Linked DNA regions of Coturnix japonica. The protein of the gene in region 2 interacts with the protein of the main gene of each other region in a pairwise test. Links are inferred from orthologs where the notes say so. Each region holds a gene or a part of one and is shown on either strand. Other genes may lie near its edges. The genes, in order: SS18 and NF-kappa-B inhibitor delta.

What was found.
Region 1: the proteins of NF-kappa-B inhibitor delta (region 2) and SS18 interact in a two-hybrid assay, tested with the Homo sapiens proteins (2 studies listed by BioGRID and IntAct). The two-hybrid records come from large-scale screens. The link is inferred for Coturnix japonica from reciprocal best matches to the Homo sapiens genes NFKBID and SS18.

The regions. Positions count from the first base shown.
Region 1 is NC_029517.1:93,986,684-93,991,267, reverse strand, and holds the start of SS18 (protein SSXT), read left to right. Parts: upstream 1-1,570; 5' UTR 1,571-1,655; coding exon 1,656-1,724; intron 1,725-4,584. UniProt on the Homo sapiens protein: Appears to function synergistically with RBM14 as a transcriptional coactivator. Isoform 1 and isoform 2 function in nuclear receptor coactivation. Isoform 1 and isoform 2 function in general transcriptional coactivation.
Region 2 is NC_029539.1:3,677,018-3,681,304, forward strand, and holds the start of NF-kappa-B inhibitor delta, read right to left. Parts: upstream 3,028-4,287; 5' UTR 2,703-3,027; coding exon 2,508-2,702; intron 1,431-2,507; coding exon 1,379-1,430; intron 920-1,378; coding exon 753-919; intron 632-752; coding exon 515-631; intron 1-514. UniProt on the Homo sapiens protein: Regulates the expression of IL-2, IL-6, and other cytokines through regulation on NF-kappa-B activity. Functions in the regulation of inflammatory responses.

The DNA.
Region 1 (4,584 bases), on a different chromosome or scaffold from region 2:
ACATAATTTACCCTCACATTAATATTGCTGTGCATTTTGATAACAACTTACTGCTTATCAAATAGAATCTAAATCATTTTTGAGACTCGACCATTTAAACAGACAGACACTAGCTTCATTTTGCAGCAACGTGAATGGCCATGGAGGCTGGGCATGTAGGAAATCCCACCAAAGTCATGAGGTGACAGCAAGTTCAGTTGGGAAAGGAACACCAAACCAACAACAGTAATTCTTCCTCCTGCTACCTTCTATCTTCATCTATCAAGTGCTTACTTGGGGTTTGCTCTAACTGTTATCTGATTGTATTGCTGATGTTATAAAACACACACACAGAAAAGAAACACCCTGATGTTGTCCCCCCCCCAAATAAAAAAGGCTGTAATTCAACCTACCATCCTACTAGCAAAGATCTGATTGAAATATATTTGTATTTGAAGCTCTTGGTGATGATCTAGATTTATGCATCTAAATTACAATTAAATAATGTTAAAGTTGTGAGTAACTCACAAGAGCAAATAAATACGCAATTAAAGAGAAAATATACCATATGTCCTTTGATATCTAGGCACATTGCAATGCATTAAGAAAGTCATAAAAGAGGCACCCTGTTGTGGTTATGTGTTCTGAGACATGTGGCACATTTCCATTGCAGCTATCTATTTCCTTACTTGTACGCATCTGTGCCATTATTTACATGTTGTTTTTAAAGCAGAGCTGTGGAGTCTTTTTCTACTGTTTCTTTAGATCTGTGGCTATTTATGAATACAGAAGCCCAGCATTTTAAAAATAGGAATGATTAATCGTCGCAAAGAAAAGGGAAATAAATGGATTCAATTTAACTGCCTGACAAAGCAAGGAAAGAGATGTGGTTCTAATTATTAGGAATGAATGATTTTACACACATACCAGTTGAATTCTATACACCATTCTCCCATGTTTTGTGTGGAAATAGGAAGGCACTTAAAAGTTTTTCATATTTAATTAGGACAGTTATTGCAAAATATGATCTTCTTCACTCAGAGGGTGGTGAGGCGCTGGCACAGCTGCCCATAGAAGCTGTGGTGCCCCATCCCTGGAGGTGCTCAAGGCCAGGTTGGATGGGGCCCTGGGCAGCTGAGCTGCTGGGGGGCAGCCCTGCCCATGGCACGGGGTGGGACTGGGTGGGCTGTGAGGTCCCTTCCAACCCTGTTAATTAACAAATCTCATCAGTTTAATCAAAGCTGCTGTGACTGCGTTCACTCAAAGCGCAGGGAATGGTAACCATGAGTCACCGTGATGTCTATCAACTTCAGCATAACAGGTTTCTGTCCGGCGCTGAGCAGAGCGGGGTCGGAATGAACCAACGCCGCGATACACAGAGGGGTGGCTGAGGAGGTCGGCATGGCGCAGGGCGGCTGTATTCAAACGGCGCAACGAGCTCTTGATGCCGCTTCTTTGCCTAGCCTTGCAAAAAAGCCTTGTCCCCCTCATGGTTACCTTCTTGCTGCTGAAAAGCGAGGAGGAGCTCGCGGCCCAACTTCGGTTCCCCGGCGGGAGCAGGATGGGCCGTCCCGCTGTGCGGGCTCCCCGCCCTCTCGCAGCTCTGTTCCCGGATCGCGGGTTGTGCGTGAGCGGGCGGGTGGGCGCGGGCTGGGCCCTGCTGTGGCCTGTACGACATGTCGGTGGCGTTCGCGGCCCCCCGGCAGCGGGGGAAGGGCGAGATCACGCCGGCCGCCATCCAGAAGGTGAGGGAGGGCTCGGGGCTTCGCGCCGTGACGGGACGGCGGGGTGGAGCGGAGCGAGGCTGAGGCCTTGGTGCGATGGAGGGCTGCGGGCCTGCAAGCGCTGTGCGAGGCCGTCATGGAAAACAGAGCCGGGCCCTGCGTAACTGTGGGCTCGGCCTACGTGGGGAGAGTGCTGGGGCCGCTGAGAAACATGGCCCTCTCCAGCTCTGCTCCTCTCCTAAAGCTTAAAGGGAAGCGGTATGGCTGGCGGCCGTGACAGGGCTGCGGAGAGAGGGAAGCGTGCCTGTGGTGTGTATGTACTAACACTGAGTATTCCGTGTTGGTGGGGGTGAGGGAGTTCAGTGCTGTGCTTTGGAGCTTAACCGTAGGCCCTCGCTCTTTTCCATGAGAGGCCCTCTCAATTCTTGCTCTGGGATCTCTCCCACTCAATGATGGCAGGCTCCTTGTGTGGGAGCTCGTCGGATACAATCAGCTTGTGGCTTAAGAAAGAACGTGGGTGTCAGCAGGGAGGGTTTTGCAGTTCAGGGCGTTACAGAAGGTATGGGACTTCAGTGGAACCTTGCACAGTACCACAACAGTCTGTGCTTCACAAATGAAGGTGGGAAATGCATATCCACCAGGTAGAAAGCTGCCTTCAGGTCACTTACTTAAGTGTGAGAATGTAGATAATTAGGTTTTTCTTGTGCTGTAGTCAAGCTAGTAATTTGATGTTAGTGTACTGGCAGAACTCTGCTATAGCTAAAGCTGGAGAATCTTTGTAACTGGCACATGTAAGTTGTCAGGAGTCTTGAAGGTGCCTTCATCCAGCCAGTAACTAGGCTGTCTTGTGATGGCAGGTGTCTGTAACTTCTTCAAAGAACTGGTTTTCCATCAGCAGTAGCTTGATAAAAAACATATAAAACAGTGCTTTCAGTCCTGTCAGGCATACAACTGTATTCCTTCTTGTTTGTTTTTCTCTGCTTTTCTCCTAGCTTTATTTCTTTATTTTCCCTAAAGATGTCCAGCCTGTATGGCCACAGTGGAGAGAACAACCATCTCGCTGGCAGTTCTGATTTCTATCTGTATTGTAGAATGGCTTAGATCGGAAGGGACTTCAAAGCCCACCCAGTCCCACCATGTACTGTGGGCACCCAGTAGCTCAGCTGCCCAGGCCCCCATCCAGACTGGCCTTGAGCACCTTCAGTTATGGGGCCCCACAGCTTCTCTCTCTGGGCAGCTTGTTCAGCACATCACCACTCCAGGTGCTAACATGCTTTAAGTAAATGCTGCCTTTCTCTAGATGCTTGGAGACTTTTTGAGGAGGTCCTTCATTCAAGGCTTCCCTTACAAGTACTCTGTGTACTGTATAAATTATACTAATTGCTTTTTCTCCGTTCTCTTTTTCTGTTGAATTTGGCCACTGGGTTTCCTTAACACTTGATGTTAGCACATATGAAGTGTGCCAGTGTAGGAGTGTGTCCGGGATCCTCTTAGGAGTTTGCAGATGTAGTTCTGCATAGTGTCAGGAGTTCAGAAACTTGGAATATTGTGGTTCTGTCTGTGGTTCCTGCTTACGGGTGATGTTTCCAGGTCTAGCAATTTCAGGAAAGATCTGTTTCTCACTGATTGTTCTCCTGTATTTTGGTGAATTGCTAGTTTGAGTTTAGGGAAGACTCAACTCTTTGCTTTATTCTTATCTGGATGTAAATCCTGAGTGGACTGCATAAGGTTCTAAGGCTTATGACCTTTGTAGTAGAGGTGGATTAGTCAAAAGGATTAACAAAGAAGTTGTCTTTTTTTTCTGGTAGAATTTGCTAAAGTTGGATCCCCAGGGAAATGGAAGTGATGTAATTATAGTGCTTGTGCTTCCCTTGTAGAATCATAAACTTGGCTAATCTCAGCCACATTCTGATTTGTGATGTTTTGATTCGGTGTTCAGAAGATGGGAAGAGCCTCAAAGATGATTAAGTTCGTATTAGTTTTGTGAAATTCAGTAGCTGAGTGTCACGTCCATATTGTAAGGGGAGAGAAGAAGTGACCAGATTTGCAGATCTAGGATGTGACACTTGATAGGCTGCAAGGATCTGAACTAGTTTTCCACTGGGGAAACCAAGAAATTGATGTAAGATTTTCCACTTAGCTGAGCAGGCTTGGATAACTTGGTTGGTAGCTCAGATTTGCCTTGGTTTTACTGAACTTCTGCCTGATCAGAGTGCAGATGAGTGGTTAAGACAGAGATATGAGCATGAGGATGTGCAAGTTTGGGAAACTTTCTTCACTAGGAGAGTGGTTAGGCCCTGGAACAGGCTGCCCAGGGAGGTTGTGGATGCCCCGTCCTTGGAGGTGTTCAAGACCAGGTTGGACGGGGCCCTGGGCAACCTGATCTAGTAAATGTGTATGTTTGGTGGCCCTGCCAGGCAGGGGGGTTGGAACTACATGATCCTTGAGGTCCCTTCCAACCCGGGTCATTCTGTGATTCTGTGAAACTAGGCTGTTTATTTTTTCCTGCTTGTTAGCATAGAACATCTTTATTTCATGTACTTCCTGCAGAAGGCTGTGAGACCTGCAGTTTCCCATGGTTTTAGAACTTTATTTTCCCCAGAAAAGTAATTAGTATGTGTTCATATTCCCAAACGCTTCTGAAATATTGTCTATTGTGCTGGTTAAACCACGCTTTAAGAGCGTGTAATTATACAGAACATTTGTAATGTAAATCTGGCTTTACTTTTCAAGGCATTTCCTTGAAACAATCTTGTATGTTAAGCTCAGTTTCTATCAGTTAACCATTACAGTGCCTTTTATTATTGGATTGTGGGCTTCAGAGGGAGAAGGAAGATTTATGCCCCAAGTCTTCAAGTTTGTTCTTTGGTTGAGATTACAT
Region 2 (4,287 bases):
TTAGGAGGATGGGTGCAGCTGATGCAGATATAAGATAGTGTCACTGCTTTGTGTCTGCTCAGAGGTGAAGCATGGGGCAGGCAGGGGGTGGGTGACAGCAGCAGGGCTGGAAAGCTCCCAGCTCATCCATCTCAGCTCTGTAAGCAGAGCTACACAGTGCCTGAATCCATTTAACATTTAGCACTGGAGCTTTGTCCCTTGCTGTGCAGGGCTCTGCTGGGGAAGGTTACCAACACACAGCTGTTCCAAACACTGCCAACAGCAAAGCATCACAACACTGCTGAGCTGTTTGCTCAGATTTCAGCCCAATGTCACAAAGTTCCCATCCCTTCCCAGGAAACCACATCCCACATCCCTCTCCCCCCATTATCTGTCTTGCTGCCAGGGCTCAGCCCAAGCCCTGCACTAAATCCCTTGTACTGCCTCTTTGCTGCTCAAATAACATATATGGGAGGGGAGTCAGTGCTTTCTGCAGGACCCCAGTGCTATCTGCACTGCTTCTGTCCAGTCTCACCTTGCTGTTGATGAAGTCCTTGGATTTGAAAGCATTCAGCTCCAGGAAATAGCGGAGCAGGGAGACATTCCCATCCTGGACGGTGTAGTGAAGAACTGTCTTGTTGCTTTTCACATCCTATTTAAATGCAGACAGACATCACCAAATGAGAATCTTTCTGCAGAGCAACTTAAGGCACAGTCCCCATACCAGCAAACAGCAGAGGGACAACTGAAGGATGGGGAGAAGCAGTTCCTACCCGGCTGTAGATGGAGGCTCCTGCCTGCACCAGCTGCTGCACACAGCTCTCCAGCTCCCAGCTCTGGTGCTGCAGATCTTCACTCTGCTGTTCCAGCAGTGCCAGGCGGCTCCGGTCCCGTAGCAGTGTGTTATGGGCCAGGACAGCACAGTGCAGCGGGGTATGGCCTGAGGACACAGCAGGGAGGGAGCGATGATGGTCTCCATCAGAGCAACACCGTAAGGGGAGGATGTGAGCTCCTGATGGAGCTGTGGGTGTTCCTGCTCAATGCAGGGGAGGTTGGACCAGGAAGCCTTTAAGGGTCTTTTAAACCTTAAAAGATACTATGCACATATCTTGTAAAGGGCATCCTTAAGCCCTGAGACCTTTCTCTAATTCCAAAAGTCCCATTCTGGATGTACAAACAATTTGGGGGCATTCTGGTGCATACTCAGCTCCATGTGTGCACTGAGATACCACTGAGCCCTGTGGCATTTGAGCTTCCAGCACTGATGCATCTGAGCCCATCACCCCATGCACCAGCCAACCCCAATGTGCATCAGTCCATGACATTGCTGGTATCACTTCTTCCTTCCCTTCATTTTTCTTTTAGGACCACTATAAAATACTTGTGCATAAGGTCTCACCTTCAAAATCCTTCATTTCTAAATCGAGAGGGAGGCCTTGTGAGAGTATCACCTGGGAGTGGCAGAGAAATGTGGCAATTTTAGCTCAGCAGAACATTGTCCATACCACAATGGTTGGAGCTAACAAAAGATGGGGAAAAAAACAACCAACCAACCCCCAACCCTCCCAAAAGAAGCAATTAGACAATAGATAACTATGATTTAACTGTAGGCTAAGCAGTTTGGCACTAGATTTTGGCACTCTGAGTCCTATTTCCAAGCAGGGATGTCACTCAGGGTTGCACAAGATGATCACCAAGTCCCCTAATAGTAACCCAAGGACATGCAGCCAGACCTTCAGCCTTGTCTGAATGACCACAGTTCATGCATATTTTGCTCTGGACTGAATGCAGAACGTTGTTTGCATTGCAGCATCTTGCATGGGGATGTGGCTGCACGGTGACTCATCCCAACCCCGTCATGCTGGACAAGGCACAGGAGGATTACTCAGAAACGTTAGGGCTTGTGCTCTCTTATCATAACAAGAATATAATATACCCAGAGCAAACATTGACAAGAGGCTTTGAGCTGCCTGATGTTTAGAGATTAGACGTCTCAGGTGTTAAGAAGAAGAAAACCAAAAAACACCGTCTCATGTCATGCCTGTGACCCAGGAGAGCAGCAAACCCACGTGCACTATTCCTTGCTCCATCTGATTCCTCTTTTTATGCTTAAAAAACAAACACATAATAAAAAGACTCGTTTCCACTAGTCCAATTGGCACTGATGGAATTATCTGAACGCGCAGCACTTTAAATGAAACACCTGCTTTCCAAAGAACTGCCTGTGTTATACATTAACCACTGCTGCTGGCCCTCCTGGGATGGGTGCCAGGCTGAACCGATGGCCGCTGGAGCTGCATATCCCATATAAACCCAATATAAACCCAAGGGTTTATCCAACACCCTGCAGAGTCTTGTTCAACCCATGCGAGCCCACCATGCAAGAAGATAGATACACTTTTTTCTCTACTAAAAATCTGAACTGCTTACAATCATCCTCCCATCTGAAAGAGTTGTTTAAAGATGGTGATAATGAGACGATAACAGGCTTACACTGCTAACAATGAAACCATAAAAGCTTTTCCTACCTGGAGAACGTGGGCATACCCATATGTTGCAGCAAGGTGCAGAGCTGACTGCCCTTTGTTGTCTATAGCATTGACATCTGCTCCTGCCTGGATCAAATCGTGGACGATTGCTGGCTGCCGGGCAGTGACGGCCACCAGGAGCGGGGTCTGGAAAGGGCAGCACAGCAGAGAGCCCTGAGAGTCTGATGTGATCATAAAGAGAAGAAAGGCAGAAGCAGACTGGGTTGGATGGGATCTAGAAGGCCAAGGGTTGTGGTGCACAAGCCAAGGGGAGCTCACAGGCAGATCTGGAATCCCATAGAACTGTGAGTGAGGGGCACTTCCCAGCTCCTGCTGGGCTCTCTTAATTCAGATGGCAAAGCAAGTGCAGCACTTTCAGAATGCCAGAGCAAGGCATAGCACTGCTCAGAGCTTCTCCTGCAGTAACAGAGAGGCTGAGGGGGGCTGAAAACACAGCATCGCTTGCTCTCAGCCTTATAGCCAGTGCCCATCCCAAATGCTGTTTGCAAGAGGAGATGGTCAGCATTACCTTTCCTCTGTGTTCCTTGGCATCAAGTCTCCGCAGCTCCTTCATGCGCTCTGCAGCTGCCAACGTAAACGCCCTCATACCTTTAGCTGCATAAATATGTAGAATTCTAAGACAGTAAATAAAGATATCGATCACTGCTTGGTCATGGATCACCCTGGAAGCAAACAGTTTTACAGGGTAACAGTGCTGCTTCGGGGGTTTTACATCCAGAGTTCCCACAGACCCATCCATAACCCCAAAGGCTTGAGATTCAGAAAACCCATTTCCAGGAACTGAGTTTCCTACCTCAACATAACTGCTGCTTTCCCAATCCCTCAGCACCCCAAGCTTTGCCATGCTGGCTCCCTTCTACACCAGCACTATCCCTCAGGTGAGCTTGACACTTGTGCCACAATGTACCAGAACCCCACACAAACTCAGCATTGGGGCTCCCACTGGTTTGGGGTCACACTGCCATGTGTAGCATAAAACCAAGGCACAAGGCAGCCCTAGCAGCCCAATTTGCTCACTCTCAACACTTCTTAGTCATAAACTGGTGGGCAGTCGCTTCTTCCCCCAGGTAATTTTGTACCCCAGAGCCACAGCTTGCAATTTTAGGAAGCAGAAATGCAACTTCACAGCTGGTCTGGTTTGCAGTCAAGCTCAGCATGAGCTATGAGTGCACACTGTGCATCCCCATGGTTACCAATAGCAGATGACTGTGATCAAACCAACACCCAAACAGCAGCAGTGCTCGTGTCAGTGAGCAAGCAGTGCTCCCAGCCCACATTTAGACCATGGAGATCCTCTATTAGCCTGACTCAGTGTGCAAAACTAGCAGAAAGCCCAACAGCTCCTTGGGCTCTGGGCTGTACTCATAGACTGATCGCTAACCCAGCGTGCTGGGTCATACTTCTGTGTAGGAAATAAAACACTCCAGGCGTATGGAAGTTACTATAGATCTTTATTGGAGAATAATTTGTCTTTTTCTAACCAGAACAACCCAGAAAGAAATTCTGAAGCAGTTCATCTTTGGTATCCACACAGAGAATTTACATACATTGAAGTGAAAGGAAATCAAATGCAATCTTAGCAACCACGGGCTTGGTTCACACACCTATTATCCCAGTTTTACTGAGTGATTCTGTGCTCGTAAAGCTGGAGTAAGCAGTGGTGAACCAAACTCCTTCTAATTCATTTCTTTGCTGGGTTTTTCTGCTAATATAAGCCACTAATTTCAATGCGCCTGGACTACTGCTATTTTCAAGTGAC